Canis lupus familiaris: one gene and its partner. The protein of the gene in region 2 interacts with the protein of the main gene of each other region in a pairwise test. Links are inferred from orthologs where the notes say so. Each region holds a gene or a part of one and is shown on either strand. Other genes may lie near its edges. The genes, in order: USH1G and USH1C.

Evidence for each region.
Region 1: the proteins of USH1C (region 2) and USH1G interact in binary tests that used the Homo sapiens proteins (3 or more experiments, as listed by UniProt). The link is inferred for Canis lupus familiaris from reciprocal best matches to the Homo sapiens genes USH1C and USH1G.

What each region holds. Positions count from the first base shown.
Region 1 is NC_049230.1:6,402,114-6,417,591, forward strand, and holds USH1G (Usher syndrome type-1G protein), read left to right. Parts: upstream 1-6,733; 5' UTR 6,734-6,894; coding exon 6,895-7,058; intron 7,059-9,520; coding exon 9,521-10,726; coding exon of another isoform or gene 10,727-10,730; intron 10,731-11,630; coding exon 11,631-11,634; 3' UTR 11,635-14,127; downstream 14,128-15,478. Other genes in the region: proton channel OTOP2, read right to left, coding at 2,029-2,162, 2,829-2,887, 4,254-4,390, 5,107-5,419. UniProt on the Homo sapiens protein: Plays a role in pre-mRNA splicing by regulating the release and transfer of U4/U6.U5 tri-small nuclear ribonucleoprotein (tri-snRNP) complexes from their assembly site in Cajal bodies to nuclear speckles, thereby contributing to the assembly of the pre-catalytic spliceosome on target pre-mRNAs.
Region 2 is NC_049242.1:40,746,178-40,762,708, forward strand, and holds part of USH1C (harmonin), read right to left. Parts: intron 11,485-16,531; coding exon 11,417-11,484; intron 10,676-11,416; coding exon 10,532-10,675; intron 10,452-10,531; coding exon 10,313-10,451; intron 5,455-10,312; coding exon 5,346-5,454; intron 5,212-5,345; coding exon 5,187-5,211; intron 4,987-5,186; coding exon 4,929-4,986; intron 4,627-4,928; coding exon 4,532-4,626; intron 2,711-4,531; coding exon 2,626-2,710; intron 1,651-2,625; coding exon 1,591-1,650; intron 1,432-1,590; coding exon 1,375-1,431; intron 1,089-1,374; coding exon 946-1,088; intron 1-945. UniProt on the Homo sapiens protein: Anchoring/scaffolding protein that is a part of the functional network formed by USH1C, USH1G, CDH23 and MYO7A that mediates mechanotransduction in cochlear hair cells. Required for normal development and maintenance of cochlear hair cell bundles.

The DNA of each region.
Region 1 (15,478 bases), on a different chromosome or scaffold from region 2:
CAGTGCTCGCACAGGGCCCGGCTGGCTCACTCAATCCCCAGGGATTTACTGAGCACCCACTGTGCGCCAGAGACCGGGGCACATCAGTAAACAGTAGTCAGTGCTCAATAAACAAAAGCCTGAACCGCACATTCTGGCCGCTTCATCCCATTCCGTTCCTTCAGGCAGACATTTCCAATCCTTCCCAACCAGTAACCATCCCTGGATCCCCAAAATAGGTGAGGTTCTGGTCTCGATAGATGGTGGTCCTCCTGGGAACCCTGGAAATTCCAGCTTCCTCGCAGCTCTCCCCAGCATCTGACTCAGCCCAGAAGGTGAGCTGCTTGGCCCACGTGTGACCTCCCGTCATTTTGGTTTGTGGCACACCTGTAGCAATCTTGTCCTGTGACCCGAGTGCACTTTATAGAATGTCTTGGATCTTGGCAAACATCTCTTTTGATCCCCAGAACTATTCCCACTGGTTTTGCAGATGTGGAAACTGAGGCTCACTGACGTAAAGTGGCTTGTAATGGCAGAGCTATTGACCTGGCTCCCAACCCCAGGGCAAGTACCTTCCCAGTATCCCATATTAAATTGGCCACCACTCTGGGTTGTTTTTTTGGTTTTGTTTTGTTTGAGAGAGAGAGAGAGCGAGAGCAGAGACAGCATATGTATATGCAGAGGGAGCAGCAGAGGGAGAGAGAGAGAGAGAGAGAATCTCAAGCAGGCTCCATGCCCAGCCAGCACAGAGCCCAACTTGGGGCTTGATCTCATGACCCTGAAATCATGACCTGAGCCAAAATTAAGAGTTGGGGGCAGCCTGGGTGGCGCAGCAGTTTAGCACCACCTTCAGCCCAGGGTGTGATCCTGGAGACCCAGGATCGAGTCCCACGTCTGGCTCCTTGCATGGAGCCTGCTTCTCCCTCTGCCTGTGTCTGTGCCTCTCTCTCTCTCTGTCTCTCATGAATAAATAAATAAAATCTTAAAAAAACAAAAACAAAATTAAGAGTTGGATGTTTAACTGACTGAGCCACCCAGGTGCCCCCTCCAGGTTGGTTTTTAACCATCATCAGGAGCCCTCTGTATGTGCAAGGTGACCCTTTATCAGTCCTGCTAGACTGATCCATTCTTGCCATTCCTGGACACTTCCACACTGAGTATGTGTGTGTCTTTGGACAAAATCCATATGTACATAATCATCTAGTCTGGACCTGGTTAGTGGGGTGGGGCGGGGGAGCTACCAAAGTCCAGAGAACTGGCCCAGGGAGCCTGTGGACTCTATTCTTCAGTGTAGCTCTGTGAATATTGCAAATTATTTCACCTTTTAGGCCTCAGTTTCTGTATCTGTAAAATGGAGATATTAATAGTACTCATTTTGGGACTCAGTTGGTTAAGCCTCAGACTCTTGATTTCGGCTCAGGTCATGATCTCAGGGTCATGAGATTGAGTCTTGTGCCAGGCTCTATGCTCAGTGCCGAGTCTGCTTAAGATTCTCTCTCTCCCTCTTCCTCTGCCCCTCCCCTGTCCCCACTCTTACACACACATTCTCTCTCTCTCTCTCTCTCTCTCTCTCTCACTGAAAAAGAAAAAAAAGTATCCATCTCATTGGGAAGTTGTGAGGGTTAAGTAAGTAGAGTGTTTAGGACACTCAGCACAGCACCTGACATACAGAGCTCAGAAAAGTGTCACTATTATCATTGTGATTATTATTTCTACCTTCTCCTTCCCAGACTCTGTCCCATGCTTCCACCATTGAGCCACTCTACCTGCTTCCCTTTCCTTCCCTCCACTTTGATCACCCTCGCCCTTTCATCCTGGAGCTCAAATCCCTTCTTTGGTGGGATGGAGTCCTGAACAGTGGGGCCAAGGCTACATCCTCTGGAAAGAGGATATGCCCCCTGGCACCCTCCTTCTGGTGTGACCTACTCTGTCTTCAGAGACAGAGTCTGGAGCAGGAGGCTCTCCTTTCTTGTGAGGGCAAGGGAGACAAGCACCCCGCCTAAGGCCTGGAAGTCCTGGGACCAGGTTTAATCTGAACTGGACACTCACGGTCAGGAGCGAGGCGAAGGTGGCTGGTGTTGCTGTGGGAACTATCATAGGAGTGGGTCTGGTGCACGGACTCGTCCACCACGGCTGCCATCCAGATGGCCAGGTTGGTGGTGAGGGTGAACATGAGACCACACCTGTTTGGGGAGAGGAAGCAAAGAGGCCAGTGAGTGTCTGGCCTATTGTGGGTCCCTGGGGAGATGGATAGCTGGGGAGCTATACTGGGAGATGATGTGGAGAGGCAAGAAAGCAGTCAGGCCCCCTGTGTAAGCAGAGAGGCTGAGTTTGGAAGGAACACTTAGTCTGGCCAGAATGCCACCCAAGAGAGGGCCAGGGGGGTGTCCAGGGGCTCAGGCCACTACTGCTCCCTCTCCTACAGGAAAGCACATATAGGGCAGCCTGGGTGGCTCAGTGGTTTAGTGCCTGCCTTCAGCCCAGGGTGTGATCCTGGAGACCCGGGATTGAGTCCCACGTTGGGCTCCCTGCATGGAGCCTGCTTCTCTCTCTGTGTCTCTGCCTCTCTCTCTCTCTGTGTCTCTCATGAATAAATAAATAAATAAATCTTAAAAAAAAAAAAGAAAGAAAGCACGTACAGTGCACTATATAACCCATCCCACCAAAACACATAGGTATGAGTGTGTCGGCACACACGTACACACAACACAGCATAGAGTGGTGGAATCAGGCTGACAGAGCCAAGGGGCCTTGGCTGAAACCCCACCCAGGGTACAGAAAGAAGCCCCAGGCTAGGTTGGAAAGCCCTCATTGCTCATGCTCCGTGGGCATGGATGTTGAGCACTCACCGGGTCAGATCCAGATGGACGTGAATACAGTCTTTAGCGGAGACCCAGAGAAAGTAAGTCTGTGTTGAGAGAGAGTGGGGGAGGTCATTCACTCTGCAGATGGGCCAGACTCTGGAGTGCCCATGTCCAAACCCCACAGTACATTCCTTCTACCTCAAGAGCCTTACCAACCTACCACATTTCTCTTAGCTTTACAAAATGAGTCAGGAGCTTTCTCTCTCCATGAAACAATTTGTATAAAATAGTTCTCTTCTTTCAGAGTTTGCAAAATGTTACGTGTAAACTCTTGATGCTTTTCTGTTGTGGTTGCTGTTCTTTTTTTTTCCCCCAGGTAGAAATTTGACTGTCTAGTTACTTATTCCTAGGAGTGAGGCCAGCCTGAGTCTTGTCCAAGGAAGAGAGAATCTCTGGTGGCTTCTCACCTCCCTTTGGCAATATCCCCTGCCCCATCCCCATCCTTTGTTGCCTTGCAACCTTCACCTGGTTGCCAACAAATCCTTGTCATGGTATTTGGTGATGTAAAGGGGTCTGTATTTTCATTTCACCTGAGTATTCTTCAAACCCGTAAAATGTAAAAAAAGTAAAGCTCTCATAAGTACCAAAGTCACGAATGTGTTGAATTATGGAAATCCACACATTGGGGGTGATGTTTCAGGAGAGGGAACCCTATGTGTGGTCATTCTGGTCATGGTGGAGGGCTGAGATCTGTTCTGGTTCCATGTAAGACCAGTCCTGCCTCAGCTCAATCAGAAGATCTTTCAGAGTGTTATGTTTGCAACAAATAAAAATAAATATACTTGAACTTGTTTGAAAAAAATCCCAGGTACAGGACACCCTATTTCCTGAACAAATATAGAACATATGGATAATAGCTGAAGCCTAACCAGCCATGCTCACAGCAGGACCCTGGGCTGAAAGTGATGCCTTCTACAGGCACTCAGGGAGGGCAAGCCAGGTTCTAGGAGGCATGGCAGCTGCCACAACTCAGACATCCTAGATGTTGATACTGGCACTGCTTTGGTCGAAATGAAATCACGGGACCCCTAAGTAGGAGCTCACATTTGGATATTAATTCATTACCAAGGGACAGCCCTGGTGGCGTAGCAGTTTAGCGCCGCCTGCAGCCTGGGTTTGTGATCCGGAGACCCAGGATCGAGTCCCACATTGGGCTTCCTGCATGGAGCCTGCTTCTCCCTCTGCCTGTGTCTCTGCCTCTCTCTTCGCTCTCTCTGAATGAATAAATAAATAAATCTTAAAAAAAAAATTCATTACCAAGTGCTTTCCGATTTATGGATTCAGGTGATCCATGCTACTGTCTTATCCCCATGTTACTTGATTGCTCAAGGTAGAAGAGTGGAGATCTCCTGACCTCATGTCAGGTGTTGGCTCCTTTCCACCACACTCAAGAACGCTCCTTCCACCCACCTGGACGATGACAAACACAGCTTGGGTGAGAGGATGCAGAATCTTGATGGCCGATTGGCACTCAAAGAAACTGGAGTAGTAGCCAGTCTTGAAGACATCCATGACAAGAGTGCAGATCCCAAACAGCACCAGCCCACCTGGGAACAAGGGGTGGAGGATGGGTCAGAGAGGATGGTTTATAGATCTGAGAATGGATGGCTAGATGGGTGGTTGGTTGGATGGTTGGTTGGATGGAGAGATGAATAAGATTGATGGGAGGATCAATGGATAGACGAATGGGGTGGTTGAGAGGATGGATAAATGGCTGGCTGGCTGGCTGGCTATATGAATGGATTGATGGATGGATGGACAGATGGGTGTATAGTTGGATGATGGATGGATGGATAGTGGATGGGTGAATGGATGGATTGAAAGATGAATGGGTGGGTGGAGAATGAGTATAGGACTGAGAGGGTGGATGGATGGACGGACATCCTATTGAGCCCCTATGTCTTTGGGGCGGCATAGATTGGCAGGAGAAGGGCCCTAGGTGGGTTCTTTCAGCTGCAGCGGTCATCTGTTCTGCTCTCCATCAAAGGCTCTCCCGTGACCATCCCTTTTCAATCTTTAGGAAAGGCAAAGAAGTCCTCCATCCCTCACTTCATTCTTCTCCCAAGACTGTTTCTCTTCCTCTTCTCTTTCAACTGCAGCCGGTCTCATCTTCAGCCACATCTGCCTCCCCCCACCCCCACCCCCACCCCCACCCCCAATTTCTCAGCTCCCTACCGTGAGGCGCACTCCACAGTTCCTCTGAGGGTCGCAGCCTCTGGCTCCTCGCCTGCCCCCCACTCCCCCCCACCACCTCCCCGGGCACCTCGGAGCCAGATGGGGCCGGCGTGCGCGTCCCGGTAGGGGACGGCGTCGGGGCAGCGCACGGTCCGGAAGAGGTAGAAGAGGATCCAGAGGGAGGCGAGCAGCATCATGGTGGTGAGCAGCGCGAACACGTCGGTGTCATACACCGCTACCTTGTTGAAGGCGCCGCCACTGACGAGCGTGCAGGCGAGCAGCAGCACGTTCACGGCCAGCAGCACGGACAGCAGGCGGCCGCCCTTCTTCCACACCTCGCGGGAGCCTGCCCGCGGCGCTGGCGGGCTCTCCTCGGGGCCCGGGGCCGAGTCCTCCGACATGGGGGCGACCGGGGGAGGTGGGAGGGTCACTGCGGGGAGGAGCGGACAGCACCAGGTCAACCCGAGCGCTCTCCTTCGGCCGTCTTGTCTTATCCATCCCTAGGTTTAGGGACGGAGAAGCTCCTCACCCCGAGGGTGGGGGCTGCGGTGGTGGAGGATGCGCTGGGGAGACGCAAGGGAGAAGCGGACCCTTGGGGCCTCTCCCTCGACGACGGAGCGCAGGAGAGGCGGCGGCAGCCCCGTCGGGCCCCGTCCCACGTCCCCGCTCCCCAGGCCGTGGGCCGTGTGGCCCGGGCACCCACCTGGCTGGTCCGGGAGCCCGCGCTGAGCCGGGGGTCAGGGGGCGGCGAGCGTCTCCTCTGCCCCACACCGGGCTGTACGGGCGCTTTATACTGGGGAGGGCAGGGTGATTTACAGCCGCGGGAGCTCAGCTCCATAAATCTCTCAGTCCCACTCACATGATCCATCTTTTCTCCGAGCTGAATTTAGGGAAGAGAGCGCGGGAGCCAGATAAGGTAAGATTTATATTTACCCGTGAAGAGGCGCCCCCTCCCCCGCCGTCCCGTCACCTCGGGCGCGGCCCCGCACTGCGGCACCCAGAGGGCACCCCGCCCCTGGCGCCCACCGCGCCCTCGCGCCCCGCGGTGCCCGCGGTCCCCGCCGTCCAGAGCCGCGAGCGCTGATGCTCAGCAGACCCCCAAGGGCCCGCAGGGACTCCGACGCCCTCCAGGCCCAGCGCACCCTCCACCTTTGTGCTCCTCTGGGACCCCAGTGCCCCTTTCCCCGACACCCTCCCAGGGGTCGAAGTTCCTCGTTCCCGATCCCTCCCCGCAGGGGGCTCCGCGGCGAAGGCGGGCTCCGGGAGCAAGCGCAGTCCTCCAGCGCCCCCTGCTGGAGCGCGGCCCCCCGACCCCGCGCGGCCGAGGCTCCTGGAGCCAGGCCTTCGGGTGCTGGTCGCTGTCTGGGCGCAGTCCTCCTCCCCGTCCCGGGCCCGCTGTCCTAGGATCCAGACTGCCCGCAGACACCGCTGCCCAGTCCTTGGCCCCTTCCTTCGACGGGTGGAGACATCGGGAGCCGGAGAGCCGGGGCTCCAGTGAGGACAGACCTCAGCCCGTCCCCAGGCTGGACCTCATGGGACGGGGCGCTGGGGTGACCGCTTTTGGGGCGAGGGCAGGGTGTCGCGTAGGTCGCCCCGGGGCGCTCGGGAGCAGGGTGTTTAGGACCCAGGGGCAGCCCGGGGGCGGCTCCCTTGGCGGCGGGAGATCCTACCCCCCCCTCCCTCCCGGGGTGCGCGGCTCAGATGTCCGCGGAGGCTCTGGCGCTCCGCAACCTCCGTGTGCGGCAGCGGGGGCTGGCGGCCTCGGGCCCTGCTCGGCCCCCTCCTCCAGCCCCATGCCTCAGCCCTAACCCCGCCGCCCTCCCCCGCGGGGGGCCTTTCCCCGTGCCCCCTGCCCACCCCGTCCGAGTCAGGCGCCATGAACGACCAGTACCACCGGGCGGCCCGGGACGGCTACCTGGAGCTCCTCAAAGAGGCCACCAGGAAGGAGCTGAACGCCCCCGACGAGGACGGCATGACTCCCACCCTCTGGGCTGCCTACCACGGCAACCTGGAGTCGCTGCGGCTCATCGTGAGCCGGGGGTGAGTACCCGCCCTGTCCCTGCCCGAGCCCCCCAGTCGAAGGGGAAGAGAGTCTTCAGGCCCCTCCAGTCCCCTGAGACACACTCCCCAAGACTCCAAGTTATCTTCCGCCTCCCTCCTCTGAGCGCCTGTCTTCTCTACCCCAACTAAGGTGGGACCCCGGAGCCTGGCAGCTGTGGGAGGGCCGCACAACCCGAGGCTTGTGACACTTGTGACCTGGATGAGGGGCTAGGAGGGGAGGGACTGGGATTTGGGGTCCATGATTGTGGGAGGGGCTGCAGAGTGAGGGGGAGGTGGGATCGGTCTCCTGGGTGGGTGTCACCAGGAAGCAATAGTGGGGATGGAAGAGAAGGGGGAGAAGTGGTGCAAAGTGAAGCTCCTTAGGGCCCTCTCCCAGCCCGGGGCCAGAGGGCTCTCCCAGCCAGTGCTGCACCTCCCTGTTCAGCTCTCTCCTGGCTCATTCTTGGGATTTATGGGCACCGGCTCCAGCACCAAATGTCAGTGGGTGCAGCCACCTCATTAACTCCCTCTCTGCCCCTCCCCCATAATGGGCTCCCTCTCCTGCCCTTAGGAGTTGTCTGGGAGGAGGAGTGGGCATAGAGTCCATGCGTCAGGGCCAGGGAAGGGGTGTGAAGGTAGCAATGGAGGAATTCAGGATCCAGGCCCACTGATGTAGGTTCTTGGGGCTGAATGACACTGTGGACAGCTTCCCCAGCCTCCACAGTTTCCTACAGAGAGGTCACCTGGTTGAACTGGACACCTGGGCAGCCTGGACAGGGAAAAGGAGTGGAAAGCATGCCCCCAGGAGGACATGCCCCAGGAGGGTTCATATGAACGTCTTAGGCCCTGGGAAATCACAGTGGACGGCAAGGGGCCCAGCTGGCCCTGGTGCCAAATGCTGGCTTAAGCCCTGAACATGTGGTGGTGGGGAACCCCCTTGTCCTCCCTCTGAGGCTCTCCTCAGGCCTGCGGCAGGTGGGAGCAGGCCCTAAGACCAGGGTGCTGAGCCATGTTCCAAGAAGCCAAGACTGGCCCTTCCCGCACCAAGAGATCACACAGCGGTCCTGCCATCCTGCCTCCCATCAGAGAGGTCCACGGAAAAGGGTGGCTTCCCAGTGCACCAAACCCCCCAACTCCTACAGAGAGCAAGGCTTGATGTTGAAAGGGGGGTGGGCCAGATGCCAAGCAGCTCCTCTCCACATTGTCCTGCAGGACTTGGCGACCAGTAGGGGAAATGAGGAGGGGGTTGTGGGGAAAGCTGTTGAGACAAGGGAATGATTCTTCCTCCAGCCCTGCGGGGTGGCCTCAGGGCCTCATTAGTGTGAGGCAGAGGTGCTGAGCCAGGCCCCTGTGGGAGGGGAGAGCTTGGAGGAGCTGCCGGGCTCCCAAGGGGCACAATCGGGTGTGGAGGATGTGGGAAGATGCTGGGTGGGTCCCCTCGGCAGGCACAAGCCAGCCTGCCTGTAAGGCTCCCAATGACAGGGCAGCCCCAGGAAGGGAGGGCTCTTGGGCCCAGGTTGCACACTTGCCTCCTCCTCCGCTTTGGTGCTGGCTGCCCCCACACTCCCCTCCCAGCCCAGGCCAAGACCCGACACCTGCTCTCACACGCAGCCTTGCCAGGCCTGGCCCCGCTCCCTGCAGACATGGCCGTGCCCGCTGACACACTGGCACGCACCCTCACACACCTTCCCCCCCGGGGCTCAGGCTCAGCACCCACCAGTCTCCTGTGTCCTTTTTTAAGGTCACCCCTGCACCCTCAGCCACACTCACCACCGCGCCTGCCTAGAGACCCAGACACAGCCCTGGCCCACCACCTCTCTGGGCCAGCTCCCCGCTGGGCTCCATGAATAATTCACTCCTTTCTCTCTGGGCATCAAATATTTATCCCCTGAGATTCCCAGCCATCAGTTCTCTTGGGGAAGGCCCCGCCCCGGCCCCGCCTTTCCTGCTGCCCCACCCCCTGCGGGCCTGGGGCCATTTCTGCTCCACCCCCACCCCACCCCCACCCCCATCTCCACCTCCACCCCCACCTCCACCTCCACCTCCACCCCCACCTCCATTTCCACCTCCACCTCCACCCCCACCTCCACCTCCACCTCCACCTCCACCCCCACCTCCATTTCCACCTCCACCTCCACCCCCACCTCCACCTCCACCCCCACCCCCACCTCCACCTCCACCCCCACCCCCACCTCCACCTCCACCCCCACCCCCACCCCCACCTCCACCCTCACCCCCACCTCCACCCTCACCCCCACCTCCACCTCCACCTCCACCCCTTCTCCCCCGGCTCTCCCTAGGTAGGTCTGGCATCTCCAGGAGTCAGAGGAGACATCTCGGGGCCTTCGGGTCCTGCCGGTGCGCCCCCGGGGGTCGCCCAACCGGGCCTGGAGCTCCCCGCGTCTGCAGCCAGGGCCGACGGCCGTGGGTTCATCACCCCTCCTTGCGTGTCCTCCCTGCAGGGGTGACCCAGACAAGTGTGACATCTGGGGCAACACGCCCCTGCACCTGGCAGCTTCCAACGGCCACCTGCACTGCCTGTCCTTCCTGGTGTCCTTCGGGGCCAACATCTGGTGCCTGGACAACGACTACCACACGCCGCTGGACATGGCCGCGATGAAGGGCCACATGGAGTGCGTGCGCTACCTGGACTCCATCGCCGCCAAGCAGAGCAGCTTCAACCCCAAGCTGGTGGGCAAGCTGAAGGACAAGGCCTTCCGCGAGGCCGAGCGGCGCATCCGCGAGTGCGCCAAGATGCAGCGCAAGCACCACGAGCGCATGGAGCGGCGCTACCGCCGCGAGCGGGCCGAGCGCTCCGACGCGCTCAGCTTCTCCAGCCTCACGTCCAGCACCCTGAGCCGCCGGCTGCAGCACCTGGCGCTGGGCAGCCAGCTGCCCTACTCGCAGGCCACGCTGCACGGCACGGCCAGGGGCAAGGGCAAGATCCAGCGGAAGCTGGAGCGGCGCAAGCAGGGCGGCGAGGGCACCTTCAAGATCTCCGAGGACGGCCGCAAGAGCGTGCGCTCGCTCTCGGGCCTGCAGCTGGGCAGCGACGTGATGTTCGTGCGCCAGGGCACCTACGCCAACCCCAAGGAGTGGGGCCGCTCCCCGCTCCGGGACATGTTCCTCTCGGATGAGGACAGCGTCTCCCGTGCCACGCTGGCGGCCGAGCCTGCCCACTCGGAGGTCAGCACCGACTCAGGCCACGACTCCCTGTTTACCCGCCCGGGCCTGGGCACCATGGTGTTCCGCAGGAACTACCTGAGCAGCGGGCTGCACGGGCTGGGCCGCGAGGACGCCGAGGGCGCCCCGCGAGGCCGGCTGCAGAGCTCCCCCAGCCTGGACGACGACAGCCTGGGCAGTGCCAACAGCCTGCAGGACCGCAGCTGCGGGGAGGAGCTGCCCTGGGACGAGCTGGACTTGGGCCTGGATGAGGACCTGGAGCCCGAGACCAGCCCCCTGGAGACCTTCCTGGCCTCCCTGCACATGGAGGACTTCACCTCCCTCTTACGGCAGGAGAAGATCGACCTGGAGGCCCTGATGCTGTGCTCCGACCTTGACCTCCGCAGCATCAGCGTCCCCCTGGGGCCCCGCAAGAAGATTCTGGGGGCCGTGAGGAGGAGGAGGCAGGCGCTGGAGCGCCCACCAGCCCTGGAGGACACGGAGTTGTGAGTGCCCTGAGCCTTGGGTGGATGGGAAGATGGGGGCCTTAGGGCCTTAGGGGGCCCCAGGGGAAGATCTGCCTTTTCAGGAGTGTGTGTGTGTGTGTGTGTGTGGGGTGTAATATCGTATTTAGTAAAACTTAGTCCCCACCAATTACAAGAGGCCTCACTTAATTTGTTCATCCCCAACTCTGAAAAAGAGGCTGCCAATTTAAGGAGGACAAGAGGCCTTCTTATCACAGCAAATGTAAAATGTAAAATGTAAAACACCTCCGTTTAGATCTCAAAATGCCCCCAAATGAGTGTGAATGCGATACAGTAGTCAGAGTAATCACAGCCAGGACGTTTTGGGCCCTCCCACCTACTGGGTGCCAGAGATGCCCCTGCACATGTCCTCTTACTGAGTCCCTCCCAGCTCCCATGTGCAGGGACTGTATCATCCCCATTTTCCAGGAGAACAATTGGAGCCTCAGAAGTTTGCAGTAGCTCATCCTAAGGTCCTGCTGCTGCTTGGTGCAGAGCTTGGGCTTGATCCCCGGTCTGTGTGGCTCTAGAGCCTGGTGACTCCCATGGGAGGAGAGTTGTCAGGTTCAAAAGCTGTCAGGGGAGCTCAAGTCTGCTAACACTGGTGGCCTGGCCCTGGGCGGACCCCTTTCTCATGGCATCCCACAAGCCCAGCACATGACGTTGCCTCCTTTTGGTGTCAGTGGCTTTTACCCTGCATGGCTGGGCAGGAGTGGGTGTGAGGAAGCAGTCTGGTTTACAGTTCATTGGATGGGGATGGCCAGTGTCCCCATCCCTGACCATTAGCCTGTCAGGAGAGGGTTAGTTGTCCAAATGGTTCATCTTGTCTTAAAATGATGTCTTGAAGGCCCTTACCTGAAGTCCGTTTCTGTGTCTTTCTCTACAGATAACAGAGGGCTCCTCTCTCCAAACCAAAATGAATTGCATGTTGCCACAACCCACCGTGGGACCATGAGGTCCTCACAGTTGCCAGCCCTGAAGCCCCCCGGCCCCTCCCCAGGAGCAAAGACCATGTGGATCATCTTTGAAAGCCTGTCCACACTCCACATGCAGGTGTAGCCTGGAGGTACCAGCAAGGGGTCCTGAAGCCCTTGAGCCACACCCATCCGAATGCCCCTAAAGGACATGTGGATTCTTGGGACACCAGCCCCAGAGGAAGGGCAGGGAACCCCTGGGGCCCCAGGGAATAGATGACATGCCCATTAGAGCTGAATGGGAGTGTGGGGGGTGGGCATGGCCTGTTCCAAGGGCCATTGTCTCTCCCCACACTCTCCTCCAAGCATCCTGTTGTTGTGCTCAGGCTGGAGACTTGCTCATATCCTACATATTTGTGAAGGGAAGAGTTTGGGCTGCCTCCCCTCCCCCCATACACCTTAGAGAGGAGGTTCCTAGCTAGACTCTTCAGCCAAATGCTCTGACTGTAGGTAGTCCCCACCCCCATCCCAAGCACAGCCAGCCCCCATCCCCGTGTCCTTCCCCTACTGGACATGCTGGGGAGTTGGGGTGCCAGGCCGGGGTGAGGGGGCGGTGAATGGCCCCCTTACCAGTTCACCTTGTGGCAGGGCCCAGCCTGACTCTGCTCTCCTCACTCTGCCCTCGTCCACCCTGCCTCCACCCTGGTCCCTCCATGGACCCCAGAGGGTCAGGGCAATAGATGTAAGGTGCTAGAGCAATGAGCTGCAGTATTAGGGCCCTTGGCCTGGTGGGCGTGCTCTGGGGTAGAGAAAAGGCAGCTGCCAACTGCCTCAGTGGCTGCCAGCCCAGAGACAGGCGGAGACTGGGCATGGCTGGGTGTCTAGCCTCTTCTGGGCCAGTCCTGTGATATGGACAGTGGAAGAGCCTGAGGATGTCGATTATCTAAGCTCCCCGGGTCTCTGTGCATGTTTGTGTGTTGAGGGCTGCTGGATGGATTTGCCTCCGGGTCTGGAGGCAGAGGGGCAGCTGCATGGTTCTGCGTGGGTAGTTGGTCATTGAGAGCTCAGCATGTGTCCCTGCTCTGTGATGACACCAGTGAGACCAGGAGAAAGGCCAGCCCCAGGTGGTCCTCAGACATGTGTCCTCAGTTTTCCAGTTGGACTGAGGTCACAGATGTGGGGGAGAGACTCAGGGGCCCCCTTACATGTGTGGGCACACACACCCTCCTCCTCTGTCAGCAATGAGCCTCCATCCCTGACCCTCAGCTTGGGAAGCAGCTCCCATGGGAGCACTGCCACAGCCCCCACCTCTTTCCTGGACCCCCTTGGCCGGGTCAGGAGACAAGAAAACCCCCAGAGAATGCCACAGGCCTCCATCTGGCGTGTCTGTGTGTGCGTCCAGAGCGGGGGCCACAGTGGAGGTGGTTTCTGTTTCCACACTGCAGGCTTGGCTGCCTGCCACTGCCACCCTGAGCCCACCCCAGTCCTTTTCCCTGTTCTCTGGGCCTGGGCCTGGGGCCACCCCCAAGTGCCGACTCGACTCTCTCAGAGCCCAGGTGCTGCCCTTTCTCTTCTGTTCTCTGTCTGTGTCCTGCCTCAGCCTCCTCCCCATTCTCCCAGTGCCGGAGTGGGGCAGGCTCTGGGATTCCCACTGCTGTACGAAGTACACCTCCCACAGGCTCATTATAACTTTTGTAGAAAATGTTCTGTATCACAGTCGCGCCTGCGTCTCATCCTTTAATCACTTGAGGGTGGAAGAGGGAGAAGGTCTTTCTGTACCTAAAAGGACTTGGTCCTCGTGGCCCCCCTGGAGGGGGTCACGGGACGGATGGGTGAGCATTCCGTCCTTGTGTATCCCTGCATAGCCTTCCCTCATCCCTGGGCCTTCATCCTGCTCTCTCTGGGCCCAGAATTTGGAGCTGATGGAGAGAGAATGTCCAAAAGAACCGGGGAAGGAGAGCCAGAAGCTGAGTGAGGAGGATGGTCCAGGCCCCAGCCCTGTCCCCAGATCCTGCAGCTGCTGAGGGCACGAGGACACTTTCTCCCTTCCCAGCAGGGCCCGCCTGGCCTTCTCCAGATGGGCAGACGCTGTACCTAAGGAGGCTGCCACCCACCTCCCAGGCCCCATAAGCCCTCATCTCAAGGCCTCCTGCCCACCCTGGGAGGCCATAAATGTGGTCCCCATTTCCCTCACCAGCCTGGGCAGCTCTTGGGGCAGCCCTGTTTAGAACCCCCTTCCTCCCCAGGGGGTAAGGCTTCCCCTTGAGCTGGAAGACAGTGGCCTCTGTTTGCTCAGTCAAGTCCCGAAAGGGCCCCCTGAGTCATTTTATTTCATTCCCTAAGGATTCTGGGTCAAGTGCTTCTGCCAAAGGGAGTGCAAGGCAGCTCCCTCCCTCCAGCATCCAACAGAAAGGTCCAGAGGATATCCCAGGGGGAAGGTTGCTTAGCAACCATCTGGGGTTCTAGGTCGTCTCCCTCCACTTTACAGATGGGAAAACTGAGGCCTACCGACGGGAGGCTCCAGACCCAGAACACCAGCCTCCTGACTGCAGGTGCACTCTCCTCCCCACCAGGCTGCTAAGGGGGCCAGCCGGGATTCTCTCCTCCGATGTTCCGCAGGCCATCCACCCTGTGATGCCTACCGGCCATCCTGGTCACTGCACCTACCTCAAGAGACACCCGCCAGTCCTGGCGCTGCGGTTCCAGGGGAAGGACATGGGGGTGACGACCCAATCACAGGACAGCGGATAGGAGCTTCAGTGGGTGGCGTAGAGGCAGAGCCTAATGGGAAGCCCTGGGGGCTGGGGTCTCCATGGGTCAGTGTGGCCGGAGGGTGGAAGCCTGGAGCCGGGTGGCAGGTGCAGCTGCAGGAAGTCTGAGGGGATTTTAAACACAGTGAAGGGAAGAATTTTACATGGTAGGGATTGCCTTCTCGACCTATTCCCCTCAAAATTTAGATCCAGGTGTGGGCAGTTCTAAAAGTTTGGAGCAATCGGTGGCTCTTAGCCTTTAGGGATTAGAATCTGGTAACGATATAGATGATTCTCCTGGGAAAATGCACTCCCCACACCACACACTCTCAAATGCAGTTCTGCTCATAATTCCAGGCAGCTCCTGGAGCTCCGAGGGGTCCAGGGACCCTGTGTTAAGAAGCCTCAGTGAGACTGCTCGGAAGTTACATCATAAATGAGATTACTAATTTGGTGGACATGGGGCGGGGGGGGGGGGGGGGGTGTCAAATGACTCCAGGAATGAAGCCAAAGGAAGCCAGGAAGGGCCTCCAGGTATGTGGGGCAACCTCATTTTACAGATGAGCTAATTGAGGCCCCGGGGGCAAGGGGCTGGCCGAAGATAACAGAGCAGCCAAACGGGCAAAGTGGCACTCGGTCTCCTGGTGCCTTCTGTGGTGGCAGCTCCCTCCTGTCCCTGTGTTAGACGAGTCCTGGACAGCGTGACAGCCCTATGCTCCCAGCGCCTGCCTGTGTCACCTTCTCTGAGATGAGCCTGGGTTGTACAGGAGGTGGCGGGACTCAGGACACAGCCAGATCGGGGCAGCAAAACTGGCGCTGGCCCTTTCCAGCTGTGCGGCCTTGAGTCAGTTACCCAGCCTCTCTGAGTCTGTTTCCTCAAGTAAAACAGGTGGTTATTATTCCTTATAACAACAGCGTAGATCGTCAGGAGGTGACATGATCATGGGAGGATGATGCATGATTAGGCACTTAGCACACTGCCTTAGCACACATTAGTGATGATCATGGTCATTGGTGGCCTTAAGCCCATGAAGCACTCACCCCATCTGTGACCCCGCCCACCCAGTAGG
Region 2 (16,531 bases):
TTCCAGGCTCCCATCCAAGGATGCCTGGACCAGATTTGGATGCTGGAGAAACAGGTCCAACAAAATCTGGGCCCCGTGTATGGTTTTGTCTGGCACTGCTGAGTGGAGATTCTGTGATGCCAGGGATGGGAGGCAGATCAACACAGGCCCCACTCTATGTGTCTACCTCCAAACACTTAGATAAAGTGACTGATGACAGGCAGGGCCTGGCTGGAGTGAGGTCCTCCAGGAAGAGGACCCTAGGCCCCATGTAGTCAGGGCTGCTGGCCAAGGCCAGGGCAATGGGCAGAGGTACCACCAGGGCTGGTTCTCCAGGCTCATTCTGTGATGGAGAAAAGAGGTGAAGATCCTGTTCACCTTCCTTTCCCAAATTCCTTTTACACTCTTAGAATGTATCTGGAGTTGACTGTGTGTGTGTGTGTGTGTGTGTGTGTGTGTGTGAATGGCTCACACCATTTATTCTTTCAGTCCATGATCTCGATCAGCTCCAGGAAGAGGGGCCTTATTACCACAGACAGGTATGAATCCCAGCTCAGCCATGTGTGCCTTTGTTCACAAGTGGTTTACCCTCTCTGCGTTAAGACCTCTCAGTCTCCTCACCTGTAAAATGGGTGAATATCATCTATCTTCCCGAGCTATTGTAGGAATTAAGTAAAACGTGAACAAGGCCCTGACACAAGACCAGCCACATGACTGATACTCAACAAATGTTAGCTACTTAGTGCTAATAGCATCCTCATCTTCCATACTCATGGGTTTTGGAAGTCAGGGGCTCTCCTCAGCTGCAGGGAAGAGCTTGGTGGTCTGGCAGCAAGGGATGGCTGCACTGACCACCACTGAACCCATGTGATCTGAAGACAGGCCTCAGGGGGGCAGGATGAATCTGGCCCAGGACTCAGTGGGCAGGGAGGGTCGGGGAGGAGCATCCCGGCTGGCCACACTTACTGTCGCTCCATCTCCTGCTGCTCCTGGAGGATCTTGTTGGACTCCATAGCCAGCCGCTTCTGCATGAGAAGCTCCTGCCGCTGCAGCTCACGCTGCCGTGCCTCCTCCAGCCGCTCCCGGTCTGTCAGGAACAGCTCCCGGCCCTCAGGGAGTGAAAAGAGGCCCCTTACTCAGTCTCCTGGGGAGGAACCTGGGTACCCACTGCCACAGCCCTGGGGACCAAGATGCAGGTTGTCTTCACTGTGGCTCCTGCCGTCTCTGAGCAAGCTTCTCCTGGCTGGGCAGAGATCTCTCCCTCTGCTCTCTCAGAGCTTTAGGAATAGAGACCCTCTGGCCTTTCCCGGGAGTGTGTGGCAGAGATCAGGGGTCTGAATGGCTGGGGCTGGAGGTCAGAGTTTAGGGCCCCCTATCGGGTCATCCTGGACTTACAGCTCCAGCTACAATGGAGATGGTCAGGCTGCGGCTACTCTTCAGCACGTTCACGGCCTGGGGGGACAAGCGGACGGTTGGCTGAAGCCTGACAGATCAGGGCGGTCAAGGTCTCTAGAGAGCACAGATGGTCTCAGACCGCGGCAGGGAGAGAGGGGCACGAGAAGTAGAGGGCAGACATGAAAACGACCAGTAGCTGAACACCCCACCTCTCACCTCCTTGTGGTCCAGGTTGGAGAAGTCGATGCCATTGACTTCGACAATCTGGTCCCCTGCCTGGTGTAGAAAGGGAGAAGGTTCAGCGTGTTTGCACTATCTGTAAGCCCACTCATCTGCACGAAGGGCTTCCCCTGGTGGCCAGGGTCAGATGTTGAGCCTTCAAGTGGCTGCACCTCAACTCTTCCTGATGAACACAGCAGTTAGAAAGCTCTGATTGGATCCTCTCAAGGTGCATCCACCTCATGTCTCTTTTATCAGTGGTCAAATATTATACTACTAGAGGTTCATTCCTTTGGCTTAATTTATGACATTTGCTTCAAAAATGTCATAAATCAGCTTGTAGACACAGGAGCCCTTTGGTTTCTCATATAGCTGAGGCTGTTTTGAGCCATGATAATAAATTGTATAACAGGTAACATCCATCAATCACCTACTATGTGCCAGGCACTGTTTGAAGTATATGTATTAATTAGCTTAATGAATTAATCCACACAATGACCCTAGAAGGAAGGCTATGCCCCCATTTTATAGGAGAGGAAACTGAAGCATAGCAACAGGAGGTAACTTGTCCAGAGTAGAGAGTAAGAGCTCTGGCTCTGGCCTCAGACCACCTAGGTTTGAATCCCAGCCCTATCACACTTATTACGTGATCTTATTATCACTTATTACACGATGTGAAAAATCACATACTCTCTCCAAGTCTCAGTTTCTCCATCTGTAAAATGAGGATAATGACACTACCTAATTCTCAGAGTTCTTGCAAATTTTAAAGACTTAGAACAATGTCCGACCCAGGAAACACTTAGTGAACATCAATTCTTTATTATTACTACATTCCCAAGCTCAGGAGAAAAGGCTTTTGGAGCTGGAGAAGACTGTAGAAAGGTCAAATGTGAAGCTTTCCTTGGGGGCGGGTAGGAATCATAGCCAGTGGCTGCTGGGAGAGGGCTGTGTGGGAAGGCCCGTGCCCCTGTCGCTGTGTGATCATCGTCTGACCCCTTACCCCACTGGGGTCGTGCCAGGGTCACTCACCTCTAACCCCACCTCGGCAGACAGGGAGCCAGGCTTCACGTGGCTGATAAAGATGCCGGGTTTCTGGACGGGCCCACTGGAAATGCTGTGGAAGAGATGGGAAATCAGGTGAGGCTCCACTCATCCCTGCAGCATTGTTCATTGTCAGTGTCCTGTGCTCTCTGCCTGCATGTCCTGTGCTCTGGCCCCTGAGGCTCCAGGTCACCCAGGAGGCTCAGCACCCGTGGTGCTCCATTCTTCACCTGTCCAGCCTCATTTCCCTGTGGCAACCGCCACAAAAAAAATATTTGTAATTCCCACTATCCAATCCCTCACCCAATATATGGCACATGCCGTTTCGTCTCTCTTTCTAGTACTTCCCTATTCATTCCTTAAGACTCAAATGCTATCTCTTCTACAAGGTTCTCACCAAGTTCCTTCGTCTCTCCCAAGCCCCAGCTAGCTGCTCCCTCCTCAGCGCTCCTAAGATACTACACTAAGAATGGCATTTGTGCCATTATTTCCTCCTCTCACACCTGTGGCAGGCATCACTAATCGATCACAGCACTCTTTTCTATCAAATCTAGATACAGCCTTACAGTTCTTTCCAAAGCACAGGTGACCCTGGAACAACACGGGTTAGAACTGCATGGGTCCACTTATATGTGGATTTCTTACAGTATAGCACTGTAAATGTATTTTCTCTTCCTCGTGATTTTCTTTTTTAAGATTTTATTTATTTATTTGAGAGAAAGAGCACAAGCAGTGGGAAGGGCAGCAGGAGAAAGAGAAGCCGGCTCCCCAGCTGAGCAGGGAGCCCAATGCGGGGCTCAATCCCAGAATCCCAGGATCACAATCTGAGCCGAAGGCAGGCGCTTAACTGACTGAGCCGTCCAGGTGCCCCTTCCTTATGATTTTCTTAACAACAGTTTCTTTTTATAATATGTAAAACACAAAAGATGTGTTAAGCAACTGTTAATGTTATCAGTAAGGCTTCCAGTCCACAGTACACTATTAGTGAAATTTGGGGAGAGTCAGAAGTTTATACATGGATTTGGGATGATGCAGGGGGTCAGCGCCCCTGACCCTTGTGTTGTTCAAGGGCCAACCATAGTACTTGAGGCCGCGACCACTAATTGATTAGAAATAGCACAGTACGGGAGATCTATCTGCCATCTCTGACGCAAAACACAACTCCAGCAGAGCGCTTGCCACTCTACGCTGTAGCTCTTCAGCGGCTGGCTTCCACATTCACTGTATTCTATCTTGTAATCTCTTAGGAAGGAGGGACTTTATACCACTTATGCTTGGCAGAAAAGTGTTAAATAAATGTGAGTGGATGGGAATAATTTGAAAAACTTAATAACAGCTGACGTTTAACAGCTGCTCACTACCTACTAGGCACGAAGCTGGTACTTCTGTGATCTCCTCCGTCCTCACAACAACTAGTTTTGTGGGGATCCTAGGCTCAGAGTGGCTAAGCGACTAGTCCAAGGTTCTAGAGCTCATAGGTGCCAGAGCAGGGGCTGGAAACTGCATCTATAACTGTGGCACCTGTGTGCTTAATAAGGCCACCCCACGTGGCCTGATGCCTGTTTGCAATTCCCTGGCTGCTACTGAAGGAAGCCCACAAGGTAATAAATGACCAGGGAACCGTAACAGAGATCATCACTCGGACAGGCTCCTTTTGCAGTGACTGAAGCCCACCAAAGGAATGTGGGTCTGCTTTTGGGCTTCAGCTTCGTCATCTGTAAAATGGGCCTGTTAAAACTGTCCCTCTGGCCTTGGAAGGCTGTTGTGAGGCTCAGAAATCAGGCGCCGAGAAGTGTCATCTCTTCAGAAGCAGCAGTGAGAGAGGGGGAGGGGCTTAGGGGTGTACTGGGGTCTCTCAGTCATGAGTGACCCTCAGGGAAGGCCTGCCACCTACCTGCAGCCAAGGCCCCGGGATCCCACAAGGCTGATGAAGACCTTCTTCTCCTTGTTTTCCCGACTGCCGGGGAAGCTCAGGGTACTCCGCCCACCCTGGAGGAAGTATGAGATAAGGGTCACTGGGTGTCCAAGAGGCTCTTGATTTCACAAAGCCCTTTAGAGCAAGCACCGCTATCCCCACATGAGACTGCTCACTGATATATCCCTGGGGGGTATGTCTGCACCAGCTGGACCTGGCTGAGGGCCCAGCACCCTCAGGGACCTTCTGGATGCCCTCGGAGCCTGTCTGAAGCTCCTGAATGCACATCTCTGGGGCAACCCTCCCTTTGGGACTAGCTGCCCTTCCCTGAAGACAACCCCATCCAAACCCCAGCACAGGTGGCCCTGACCCTTACCTCGGATTCTGACACAAACTGATCCACGTACTGCCATTTGAGGGGTTCGTCAGGAGAGCTGGTGGGAAGGGGAAATAGAAGAGCAGTCATTAGAGAGAGATGTGTGAGGAGCCAGGCTCCAAATCCAGATCTGCCCGTCTGGAGCCTCCAGCCACCTCTGGCCCAGAAGCAGTGCTGGCCGGGCTGACGCCGGACCCCACAGCCAATCCCAGGACCCTGCGCCCACAGGGAAGAATCGCAGAGGAGGGTCCTGCTCACCTCTTCACAGGAATCAGGCCAATGTCTGTGGGAGAAAGGCAAGGCAGTTAGCACGGCTCCTATGCCCTCCCTTCCTCCCCCAGGAGCCAGGGACCCCGCTGCCTACCCCACCCTAGCCATGCCCCCCTCGAGTGCCCCCTGCCCTCTGGCCTCACTCACGTCTCACTTTGATGGACACAGTCTTCTTGGTCCTGATAAGGTTGATGACCTCCTCGTGGGTGCAGGAGGAGATGGAATATCCGTTGATGCGCACGATCTCATCCCCTACCTTGGCCACAGACGGAGGGAATGGGCACCAGGTTGAGGGGGCCTCAGGCAGCTGGGCAGGCTTGCCCCAGATGCTCTGGGCCTGCTCTCCGGGAAGAGGGACGCTGACCACACCTTCCCTCAGAAGAAACCTTGGCATGGACCCTAGTACTTTGTTATAACCAACGCACTCTCCATTAGTCTAAAGGATCCCATGGTAGTGACACTTCCAAGCAGTCTTTCTGACCCATTTTGCAGATGGGAGCACCAACACGGGAGGTGAAAGGCACAGAGAGTGGGCAGCAGAATGGAACTAGAACTCGGGACTCTGTGCCCTCATTTCAGTGCCCCCCTTTTTAAAGATTTTATTTATTTATTCATGAGAGACAGAGAGAGAGAGAGAGAGAGAGAGACAGGCAGAGGGAGAAGCAGGCTCCCTGTGGGGAGCCCGATGTGGGACTCAATCCCAGGACTCTGGGATCATGACCTGAGCCAAAGGCAGACATTCAACCACTGAGCCACCCGGGTGCCCCTTCAGGGCCCCTTTTGCCCCACTGGGTCACCATCAGGATCTGGAACCCATGCAAAGGACACCCCTTCACCTAGATTCAAGCAGCTCTTCCTTGGCCTTTGCCCCACCCCGCCCCAAGGAGCAAGCTCCCCAGTCTTTGTTAATCACTGTAACGCCGTAAGTGAGTCAGGGCGGGGAACTTCTATGATTCCTGATTCAAGTTCGCATCACTGACACACATGCAGTTTCTTTCTTCCCACCCTGTGGAAGCTCAGTGGACATTTTAACTCAGCCACAGCCCTGGCCTCTGACCCCCATGCTGGGCGAGCAAAGAACAGTGAATAAACACAAGGCTTTGGTGTCAGATGTCCTGGCTTCAAAACCCTGCTTCTATTCTCATTAGCTGAATGGTCTTGGGCAATTCTTTTTTTATTTATTTTTTATTTTTTTTATTACTCAAAAAAAACTTCATTATTTATTTAGGTTTCTGATTCTGTGCTTGTGCCTTCAAGACTTTCACAATGATTTCCTGCTCTTCAATAGGGAAAGCATGCTTGATCCTGTCAACAAACACACAGCACACATGGAACCACCATAACCCCTGCTGCTGTGTTTCTTCATTTTAGACCTTTTAAGAACTCTAGGTACCTGGGCACCCTGATGGTGCACTTGGTTAAGTGTCTGACTCTTGGTTTCAGCTCAGGTCATGATCTCAGGGTCATGAGATCGAGCCCCACATCGGGCTCTGCACCTAGTGAGGACTCTGTCCCTCCCCCTCTGTTCCTTCCCCATGCTCTCTTGCTCTCTTGAATAAATAAATAAATAATCTTAAAAAAAAAGAACTGTAGGTGTCACAGCACAAACTCCTCAAAGCTGGCCTGAGCACATGCCACATGCAGAGTTTGGTGCTTTCCTACTCTTCTTGGTCTAAAGGTAAATGATTCTATTAGCAGGGGTTCAGAGCAGCCTAGTTTTGTTCAAGGCTGTGCTATAGGATGGCCTACAACTGTGTGTCAAATGCTGGATCATTCTGAATGTCTATGGATGCTGTCCCCAGAAGAGGAAAAAGGACCTTGTGCAAGTCTCTTGAACCTTCTGAACCTCAGTTCCTCTCATCTGTAAAATGGGGAAATGTTCTGGTTGCTTCGAGAAGTGCTGGCCTACCTGTACATGTAGGCCAGCCAGCACCTGGTATACCATCAGTAATCAATAAATGGTCATTATTGTTATCATTAGTTGGGTCCAAGCCCTAAAGACTCCTGCTCTCTCTGCAGGACATCAAGCCTCATTGGATCAGGAGAGACAGGGGCTCACGGGCCTGCAGGGCCAGCCCTGGATACAGAGCTGTGGTGAGCTCATCCCCTGCTGGATGCTGCTGCAGGTCCCTCCAGGTGCCTTAGCTCTGGGGATCAGTCCCGAAGCTCTTCACTTAATAACTGCAGGGCTAGAGGGACCCTCAGTTATCAGATGAAACTGTGGCCCAGGGAGAAGATGTTATCTAAGGTCACGCAGCCTGAGCTGCAAAACAGGGACTGGATCCTGGGTGCCCCTCTCCAGCTTGAGGCCAGGCCAAGTCAACCGGCAGCTTAACTCACACCCCATGTACTGTCCCTTTGGGGACCTGTTGGTACATGTAGGGGACACAACTTGACTCTGTGGGGTCTGGGAGCTGGGCAGGCACGCAGCCTGTGAGGGGTTCATCTAGGCCAACTCCCACCCTCTCAACATCCCAACAGAGTCACCTTTTCGATGTTATCACCTCAATGTTTCCCTTACACACCTCCACACACCCCAGTCCTCTTAGGGGCCTGATGAGAGTGGCAAGGGACTCAAAAAGACACCAGAGAGACGGGCTTGCTAAAGACCTCTCTAGGTTTCTAGGGACATCTCGTGTCAGGAGAGCGGCCAGGCTAGCTCCTTGTACCCACATTTTACAGCAACTCTATTTCTGTTAATCAAATGAGGAAACTGAGAATCAGAGAACAGAATGATTTGCTCAGGGCACCTGGGTGGCTCAGTGGTTGAGCGTCTGCCTGCCTTCGGCTTAGGCTGTGATCCCGGGGTCCTGGGATCGAGTCCCGCATTAGGCTCCCTGCATGGAGCCTGCTTCTCCCTCTGCCTGTGTCTCTGCCTCTCTCTCTCTCTCTCTTTCATGAATAAAAAAAAAGGCAGAGACACAGGCAGAGGGAGAAGCAGGCTCCATGCAGGGAGCCTAATGCGGGACTCGATCCCAGGACCCCGGGATCACAGCCTAAGCCGAAGGCAGGCAGACGCTCAACCACTGAGCCACCCAGGTGCCCCTAAATAAAATCTTAAAAAAAAAAACAAAAAAAACAAAAACAAAAGTCATTTGCTTGAGGTCACCCGGTTGGTAAACAGTGTTGCCGGGATTTGAAGTCAGGTCTCCCCTACAGACAACAAGTTTTGTCTCTTGGGCATCTAGAAGCAGAGAGGGAGGGCACCTGGCCAAGCCTGGCTGCAGTTCCCTACATCCTGTCCTCTCTGGATTCCTGCCACCTGTCACAAGTGACCTCAAGTCCCTCAGGAAAGGCAGAGATTACTCTGTCCATTTTACGGCTAGGACAACCAAGGCACACAGCATCATTCTCTAGCCCGGGACTGCAGAGCATGTGGTACAGTGTAGGCGGCCCTGTGCAGAGCAGAGGGCAAAGCTTCAGACAAGACACACTTGAAAAAAAATCTAAACTATATCCAGTAGGTGGACAAAACAGATCAAATCAGCAGGTCCTTCAGTCTAGCCAGGTTGTGTCTGAACATGTCCCTCCCCTGCCTTCCAGAATCTTCTCCTGTCTGCAGATCTCAGGCATGAGATCTTCCCAGAAACATGAACCTCAGACAGGTGAATGGATGCGGATGTTGTCCCCAAGCTCCTATGAGTGAGGTTCCCTGTGTTGTTCCTAAAAGGAACCTGTTTGGGACCCCAGTCAGAATGATTCCCATACAGCCCCTGGGGCTCAGGCTACCTGTATCAGCTTTCCTCTCTCTCGCTCCAGCGTAGAACCGTGCAAAAGGCCCTTTGTGCAAAGGCCACAATGAAATGACGATCTGAGGGACGGGGGCACAAAGGACAGATGAGCCCGGCAGCCCAAGAAAGAGAAGATAATTTATAAGCCTGAGAAACAGGTGGGAGGGTAGACTTCTGAGTTGCATTAAAATGCCCCGATGGCCCCAATAGGCATCGTTGAGAAATGCCTGTCCTAGTAGGAGAGCTCGCCCTGGAAAAAAAGAGGGCCTCTGTCGATGCTGAGAGAGGAGCTCATTATGGTTTTTTTTTTTTTTTCCTCTGGCTGTGTTTCTGGGCTGGAAAATGTGCCCCACAGGAGAAGAGTAATGAAGTGGCTGAAATTTCAGCCGCCACTGGCGAGCCGTGAGACAGGGATTTAGAACAAAGCAATGTCTGTCCGCTCCCACTTCTGTACCGTAAGTCTTTGAGCCCCCCAAAGCCCCTGTCTTGGCAGCCTGATAACAAACATGCTGGCAGCTTTGAGGTGGGGGGGCTGGAAGGGTCTCTTCTATCTGGACGCACGAAAACCCAGCTCTGGGCTCCTCCAGCAGGAGCGAGATCTGGAGGTCAGCCCATCTCTGCTCATGCACAGAGGTGTGGGACCCCGAGGGAGAGGCACCCTGGGGTGCTGAAGACAGATCCCTGGGCCTGGCAGTCTGGAGACCTGGGTTCAGGTCCTGACTCGGCCACATCCTGGCTGTGACTTTACTCAAGTCTGTTAACTCTGGAAAATGGGGATGATATCATGAGGACCAGTTGTGAGCACGTCACCTGGCACAAAACAGGTGTTCATTAAATCTCCCTCCCTGCTTACCTAACGAACACTATGTGCTGGGCACTTTTGTTAGTACTTTAGGATATGAATCCACTGTCTCCTCATGACAACCCGATGAGGTAGGGAATGCTATTGTTATCCCCATTTTATAGATGAGAAAACTGAGGCATGGGGTTAAGTAATTTCTTCATAGTCCCATAGCTCATGAGTTGCAAAGCCAGGACAGTCTGGCTCTGGGGTCTATGCTCTCAAACACCACACTACAGTGGGATTTCCTTCTCCCTTCCGGTGAAAGGCTACACGGCCAGAGCTTCAGGTGCCAGGAGGTAACTACGCTCCTCCTTTGGGAAGTAGGGGGGGGGGGGATTGCAGCAGCCAGGTTCCCAGCTTGACTGAAGAAAACAGGCGGCTGCCCGCAGCCTGATTTCTATGGGCCTGAGGAAAATCTGTCAGGATGTGTGGGCCTCTTCCTCCCCCAATGCCTCAGAAAGGCGAGGCGATCCCATTGTGAGGGGAGGCAGCAAGGCCGAGGCCCTGACCCCTTGTTCCGCGGGACTCTGCTCACTCACCTGGAGCCCAACGCTGTCAGCCTGACCGCCTTTGATGAGGTGGGAGATGAAGAGCCCGCAGCCAAACTCGAGGCCCCCACGAACACTGAGGCCCAGGCCTTCGGGGTGCAGACGGTCCAGACGCACCTCCTTCAGCTTCCTGCCATGGGAGGAGCCAGTGATGTCCCTCCCCGGTGACCTCTCCCACCCCTGCCTCTATCCTGGTGGCACCATCTGTACCTGGAGCGCCGGGGGGTCAGTTGGTCGTACTCCACCTGGTGCTTCAGCGGGATCAGGGGTCTGATGGCGTCAAATAGTGGCAGGCGGCTAGGCTCATTGATGACCAGCTTCAGGTCTCCCACGAACACGGCCACGTCCATGGTTCTGCAGAGACACGGGGAACACAGGGAGCCTCATCCATGGCCACGGCCTCTGACACCCAAGGATCCCCAGAGGAACTGGTCCCCAGCTGGGTCCTCACCCATTGAGTCCAGGCCTTGGAAGTGGAGAGAACGCTCCTGTAAAGCCCAGAGCCCCTAATTCTGGGCTAGGGGCCTCATGAGAGCTTCACTATTCCACATTTAATGTCACAAGGAAACAGGCCAGGTGGGGATTGTTAACCCAGTCTACAGATGAACTCAAGTCAGGATTCAAACTCAGCTCTGCCTAATTCTAAAGCACAGGATCTTTCCAGCCGGGAAAACTCGTGTGAGATGCTGGTGACCCCTCTCGAACCCTGGTCCCCACTTCTGCGCTACAGGTAAGCTGCCCTCACAGTATCCCTCCCATGACTCCTCCTCACACCTCTCAGACCCTCAGCATATTCGGCCTGCACTTCTCCAGCTGTCAGCCGGCCTGCTCATGCCTGTCTGATATTTTCTAAATGTATGTCACTCCCCTCCTCTAAACCCTTCAATGGCTCCGCACTGAGTATTTGTGTACGTATTTGCTAAGGCAAGTGCGTGGCATGTCCATGTGATTCCCAGGAGCATTGAGCGTCTGCCCCTCTCCCAGAGCCCCCAGGATGGGAGGGAGAGGTCCTTCCATCTCAGAACATCCAGCCCAGAGTTTCCCGGAGGCAGAGGTACCCGGCTGGTCCACAGGAGCTGGACCCCGCACACTTACTGGTGATACATCCGCAGCACGTCATACAGATAGTCCTTCTCTGCATCATTTTCAATCAGAAAATCCACCTGGAAAACCCAAGGGGAGAATTCTAACCCCAGGCCCAGCACGTCCATAGCAGATGCCAGGGGAGGGGTAGGCCACTGCCATTCCTCAGCATGTCCACAGGGCTGGGGCTGCGAGAGGAGGGCAGTCAGGGTCCTCTGACAGTAACACATCAGCCACATGCAGATCACCCTGATGCCACCAGAGTACTTGTGCACATCCAGATGTGGCCAGGCTGAACCTCTCCCCCGGGTGGATGCATAGTCAGATGCACACGCATGACCCTCCACTTGACAGCACAGTCCCGAGTGGCAATGCCAGTGTCAGCAACCCGGTCTGGAAGGAGCCCATCGTCTTACCTGATGGTGGCTATAGTGCCGGATAACCGCTTTCAGAAAGGATTTGGGCCACTCGCTCAGATAGCACATCCCACCCTCTGGAAGCACCCTACTGTCCTCCTGTATCACCAATGCCAGGGGCAACTCCACCCCATCCTGTCCTGGCCTAAGCTGGGTTGGCCCCGACTTCTGTCCACTAGTCAGCCTCCTGACCACTCCTTCACCTCTCCAGGTCCCTTCTGTCCCCCGCTTCCCCCCCAAGGGGAGAGTCAAGTTACATCATTTCAGGTTTGCTGACGTCAATGGCTGGGACTCCAAGGTCAAGGTCAGGAGCTGTTTCATTAGCACTTCAATCCCAAGGGACCTGGTGGGTAGAGGAGCCCCAAATTCCACTCCCTGGGACAGTGCAGCGTGAATCTCTATACATCATATCCTTGGCTCTCTCTCTTTAGCCTAAGACTGAGTAAGAGGGCAAGAAGGGCCTCAGGCTGGGAGGCGGGTGAGGAGGCTCTGAGCTATGCATGGTCAGGAAATACTCTATAAGAGTGGGCTTGGACTCCCCTTAAATGAAGGCAGCCTTCAGGTGCGAGGAGGCAGGGCAGTCTCGCATGAGTCTATGACCCACTCTTTTGTGACAAGATGGAAGTGAGCTAAGAGGGACAGATCCAGAAGGGCTGTGGCAGATGTGTGCTGAGGAGTGATGGGAAGGTGGTGACCCAGGGCTGAGCTAAGAGGATAAAAGGAAGGCTCTAGACTAGAGCAACTGGAGTGCGTTCATCACTCAGCAGGCACCACTGGGCACTGTGCGCCTCTGCGGGCTGCTGCTGCCGCAGACTACAGCATGCCAGGGGCCCTCCCTGAGCGCCAGGTAGCAAGAGAATGGCACAAAGTGCCCTAGAGCAGGGGCTCCCTGAAGCCAGTCCTTGCACTGCTCCTTGTCGGCTCGTTCAGGTCCTATTGCTTGCTGACTGCCAACCGTGTCTGAGGAGCTTTACGTGAATTATCTTTAACCTTAGAACAAACCTCTGACGTGTGTGGATATTATCATCCCCATCTGATAGATGAGGAAATAAGGGTCGAAAAAGCAACAGAGCTGAGACTCCAACTTAAGACCGCTGCCTCCAAAACCTTTGCCTTTTTTCTAAGGCACACAGAGTATCTACTTGGTTCTATCCAGATAGAGATTTTTGTATGCATTTGTCTAATACACCAAAACCTTTGCCTTTTTCCTAACCACCACATAGTATCCACTTAGCAGATAGAATTTTTGGATGCACTTGTCTAATACGTATTTACTGAGCACCTACTGTGTGCAAAACACTGTATCTTCTTTTTGTAATTCGATTTAAAAAGCTTTTCCTTTTCAGGGTGTCTGGGTGGCTCAGTCAGTTAAGCATCTGCCTTTGGCTCAGGTCATGATCCCAGGGTCCTGAGATTGAGCCCCCAGTCATCTACCCACCCCCCCACCCCAGCCCCAGTTTGTGCTCTGTCTCTTGTGCTCTCTCAAGCATGCTCTCTCTGAAATAAATAAATAAAATCTTAAAAAGAAAAGCTATTCCTTTTCTTGGATCGCTCTTGGTAGGGGCAAAGAAACTCTAAAGGAGCCCACGATCTGCAAAGATTTTACCACTCAATCCCTCCTTCCCCGCCCACCTTGTGTCAGGTCCCCTCCAACCTGCATCAGCATTCTCGGGCTGATGCTCAACTGGCCCTCTACTACCGGTCTGTATGAGGGGGATTGGGATTCAGGGTCCTTGTCTGGGGCCCTTGAGGCAAAAACTCTGGGTTGAGCCTTGGGCCCTTTCCAGCCTCATTCCCTGGCATTCCTCCCTATGGACTGACCCCTTCAGGACAGCTGCACAGGGGGAGCAAACAACATTCAGCTCATGCAAATACAACTCCACGTGTGCACCCAGCCAAAGAGCGAGAAAGAGAGCAAGAACAAATTAAATAATGCATGTTGTTCCACTCGATGAACATCTGCCCTCCTCAGGCTGTTGTGGGGATTAAATAAGTGAATATAGACAAAGGACTTCAGACGGTGCCCAGGGCTCTCAGATCTCAAGGGTTCTGAAATGTACGCTGCATCTCTTCCTCGGTGCCCCCAGACCCACTCTGCAGCCTTCTCCACCTCTCTTTACCCTCTCGTCTCCCTGCTAATCTGTGTGTGGCCCAGACACAGGCCCGGGAAGAGTGCACAGGGTGAGGCCAACAAGCCCCTTCCTCACCTGGGTCTGTACTTCTCTGTGCTCCATTCTCCTCATCTGTAAAATGGGTATAAACATACCTCCTCCATAGGATTTCATCCTTCTGTGAGGGATTAATCACTGGGGTTTTTTTATTATTATTTAAATTAATAATCATTAAGTGCTTGACACAGTGCCTGGCAAATAGTAGTTCTCAGTGTTTGTCAAATAAAACTAAGTGGGAATAAATGAATACAGACTCTATGTTCTCAGCAGCTGGCAGACTGTGGGCCCTCCAAAAATGTTGATGGGATGGGATGAATGGATCCAGCCACACTTCCTCTCAGGCCTTCAGAGCATGCATCCTGGGTAGTACTGGGTTTGCTCTTTTCCTGTTTTATTATTCTTCATCTTTTTAAGACACTTGTGTCCTGCTAGCTAGCTGGTGGCACTTGACTCAGTGCTCAGCATGGCTCACCATGCCCTCCTTCTCTGCTTCTCCTATCTCATTTGCTGTTCCTTCCCCATTTCCTCTCCTCGAAAGGTTGGAGTGCCCTGGCTCTGTCCTGGGCCTTCTCTTCATTTGCATCATGTCCCTAAGTGACCTCATTGGTCTCCAGGGTTTGAACGATCACTTATCCTTCAAGGATGCACTGAGGCTCCAGGATAGACTTCTTCCCGCCATCTTCAGACTCCCATAGCTACTGGCTCAATGGTTGACCAGGCATCTCAAAACATTCAAAATGGAACTCTTGGTTTCTGCTATCTCCCCTCTTGTCCCCATCAGCACGCTCCTCCCAAAATGTAGACTCCCTCTCAATGCCTCTCTCCACACCCAGAGCCACCCACCGTCAGAGCCTGTCAGATCTATCTTCTCCTGAATTTTCTGGGTCTCACCACTCCTCATGCTAGTCCAAGCCCTCACCTCCTGTCTCCTATCCCCCTTCTGCTCCCGGCCCCCTCAGTCTCCTCTCTACCAGCACTCAGAACAACCCCTTTTAAACGGAAAGCCATCCCCTCATGGCTGCCTTCCCATCGCTGGAGAACAAAACCCAAAGTCCTGACCGTGGCCTACTGAGCCCCCACCACACTCTATTCAATCCATAATTCCTCTCAGAAACACCATCCCACCTGCTGTTCCTAAAGCCAGCAAGCAGACACTTGCCTCAGGTTATTGTTCCCTCTTCTTGGAATGTTCTTTCAAATACACCCCCAAGGCTCCTTCCTTACTTCTTTCTAGATTCAAGGAGACCTTTCTGACGCATCTGGTTGCTCTCTATCCTCTCATCTCAGTTTATTTTTTTTCATAGCATTTATCACTACTTTGCATTATATGATACTTGCATTGGGTTACTTGTTAACTGTCTGTCTTCCTGACTAAGGAGCCAGGGACTCTGTTTTATTGTTCAATGATTAGAGTACTGCTGGGCATAATATTAGGAGCTCAGTCAACGTTTATGACATGCATGCATGTATGATTAGCAAAACACTGGAAGGCAGAGGCTCTTTCTGACCTCCTCATTTATCCCCTCTTTCTACCCCCAGGTGCCTGGCTGGCCTCGGGCAGGGTAAACCACGGATATCCATAAATGCATGATTGCTAACTAGGCAATAAAGCCCTTTTGGGCAAATGAGTAACCAAATTCCTGAAACCTGCAGGTGCAGTGAGCAGAGGGGCAGCCTCCTTCTTTTGAAAAGCTGGTTCTTTAGGGAAGAGCCTTAGTCTCTGATGCTGCCCTTCCTTCTCCTTGGTATCCTGGCCCAAGGCTGTTGCTGGGAAGGGCATGAAAGTGCTGCCGGATGTCCTGGGGAAACTGCATAAGCCCAGAGGAACAGACTCTCCTCCCCAGCCTGGAGCCTGCTGGCACATCCACCAGGGTGCTCAGCAGGAATCTCCAGGTGGCTGTGGACCAAAGGGTTACTTATAGGTCCTGAGTAGCTGGTCCTTGAATTCCTACTTAGTCCTAATCACCCCCTGAGGTAAGCACTGTGAACCTCATCTCACAGCTGAGGAAACGATAGCCCAGATTAAATGACTTGCCCAAGGTCTCACTGGCAGTGAGTGGCAGGGTTGAGATTGGACCCCGTTCTGCCTAACATCAGATAATAACAACAGCAGACATTCGTTGAGGACTCACTAAACTCCCTACGTGCATGTAGATCTCCTCCAACACTCACAAGGGCTTTATGAGCTAAATATTATTATTATCCTCATTTAACAAATCAAAGAGGCACAGAGAGGTTAATAACTTGCTCGAGGCCACACAGCACATTCCATGACAATATGCCACTTTTCATGCTACCTCCAACAACTAAAGATTTAGGTCATAAGCCATTCCCAAGGGGTAAATGTGCTCTGCAACACCAAAGGAGGGACAGCTAGAGAGCAATGGGCAGGAGCAGTAAATTTCGCCCAGCATGGCTACGTGCCCCCAGCTGTAGCCTCTGCCGCTTTGTCCTCTCTCCCCAGTTCCTAGGTGATCTCCAACCTGGGAGGGGAAGGCTGCTGCTGTCTCGGAAGCAGCAGGGCACAAAGTCCAGCCCAG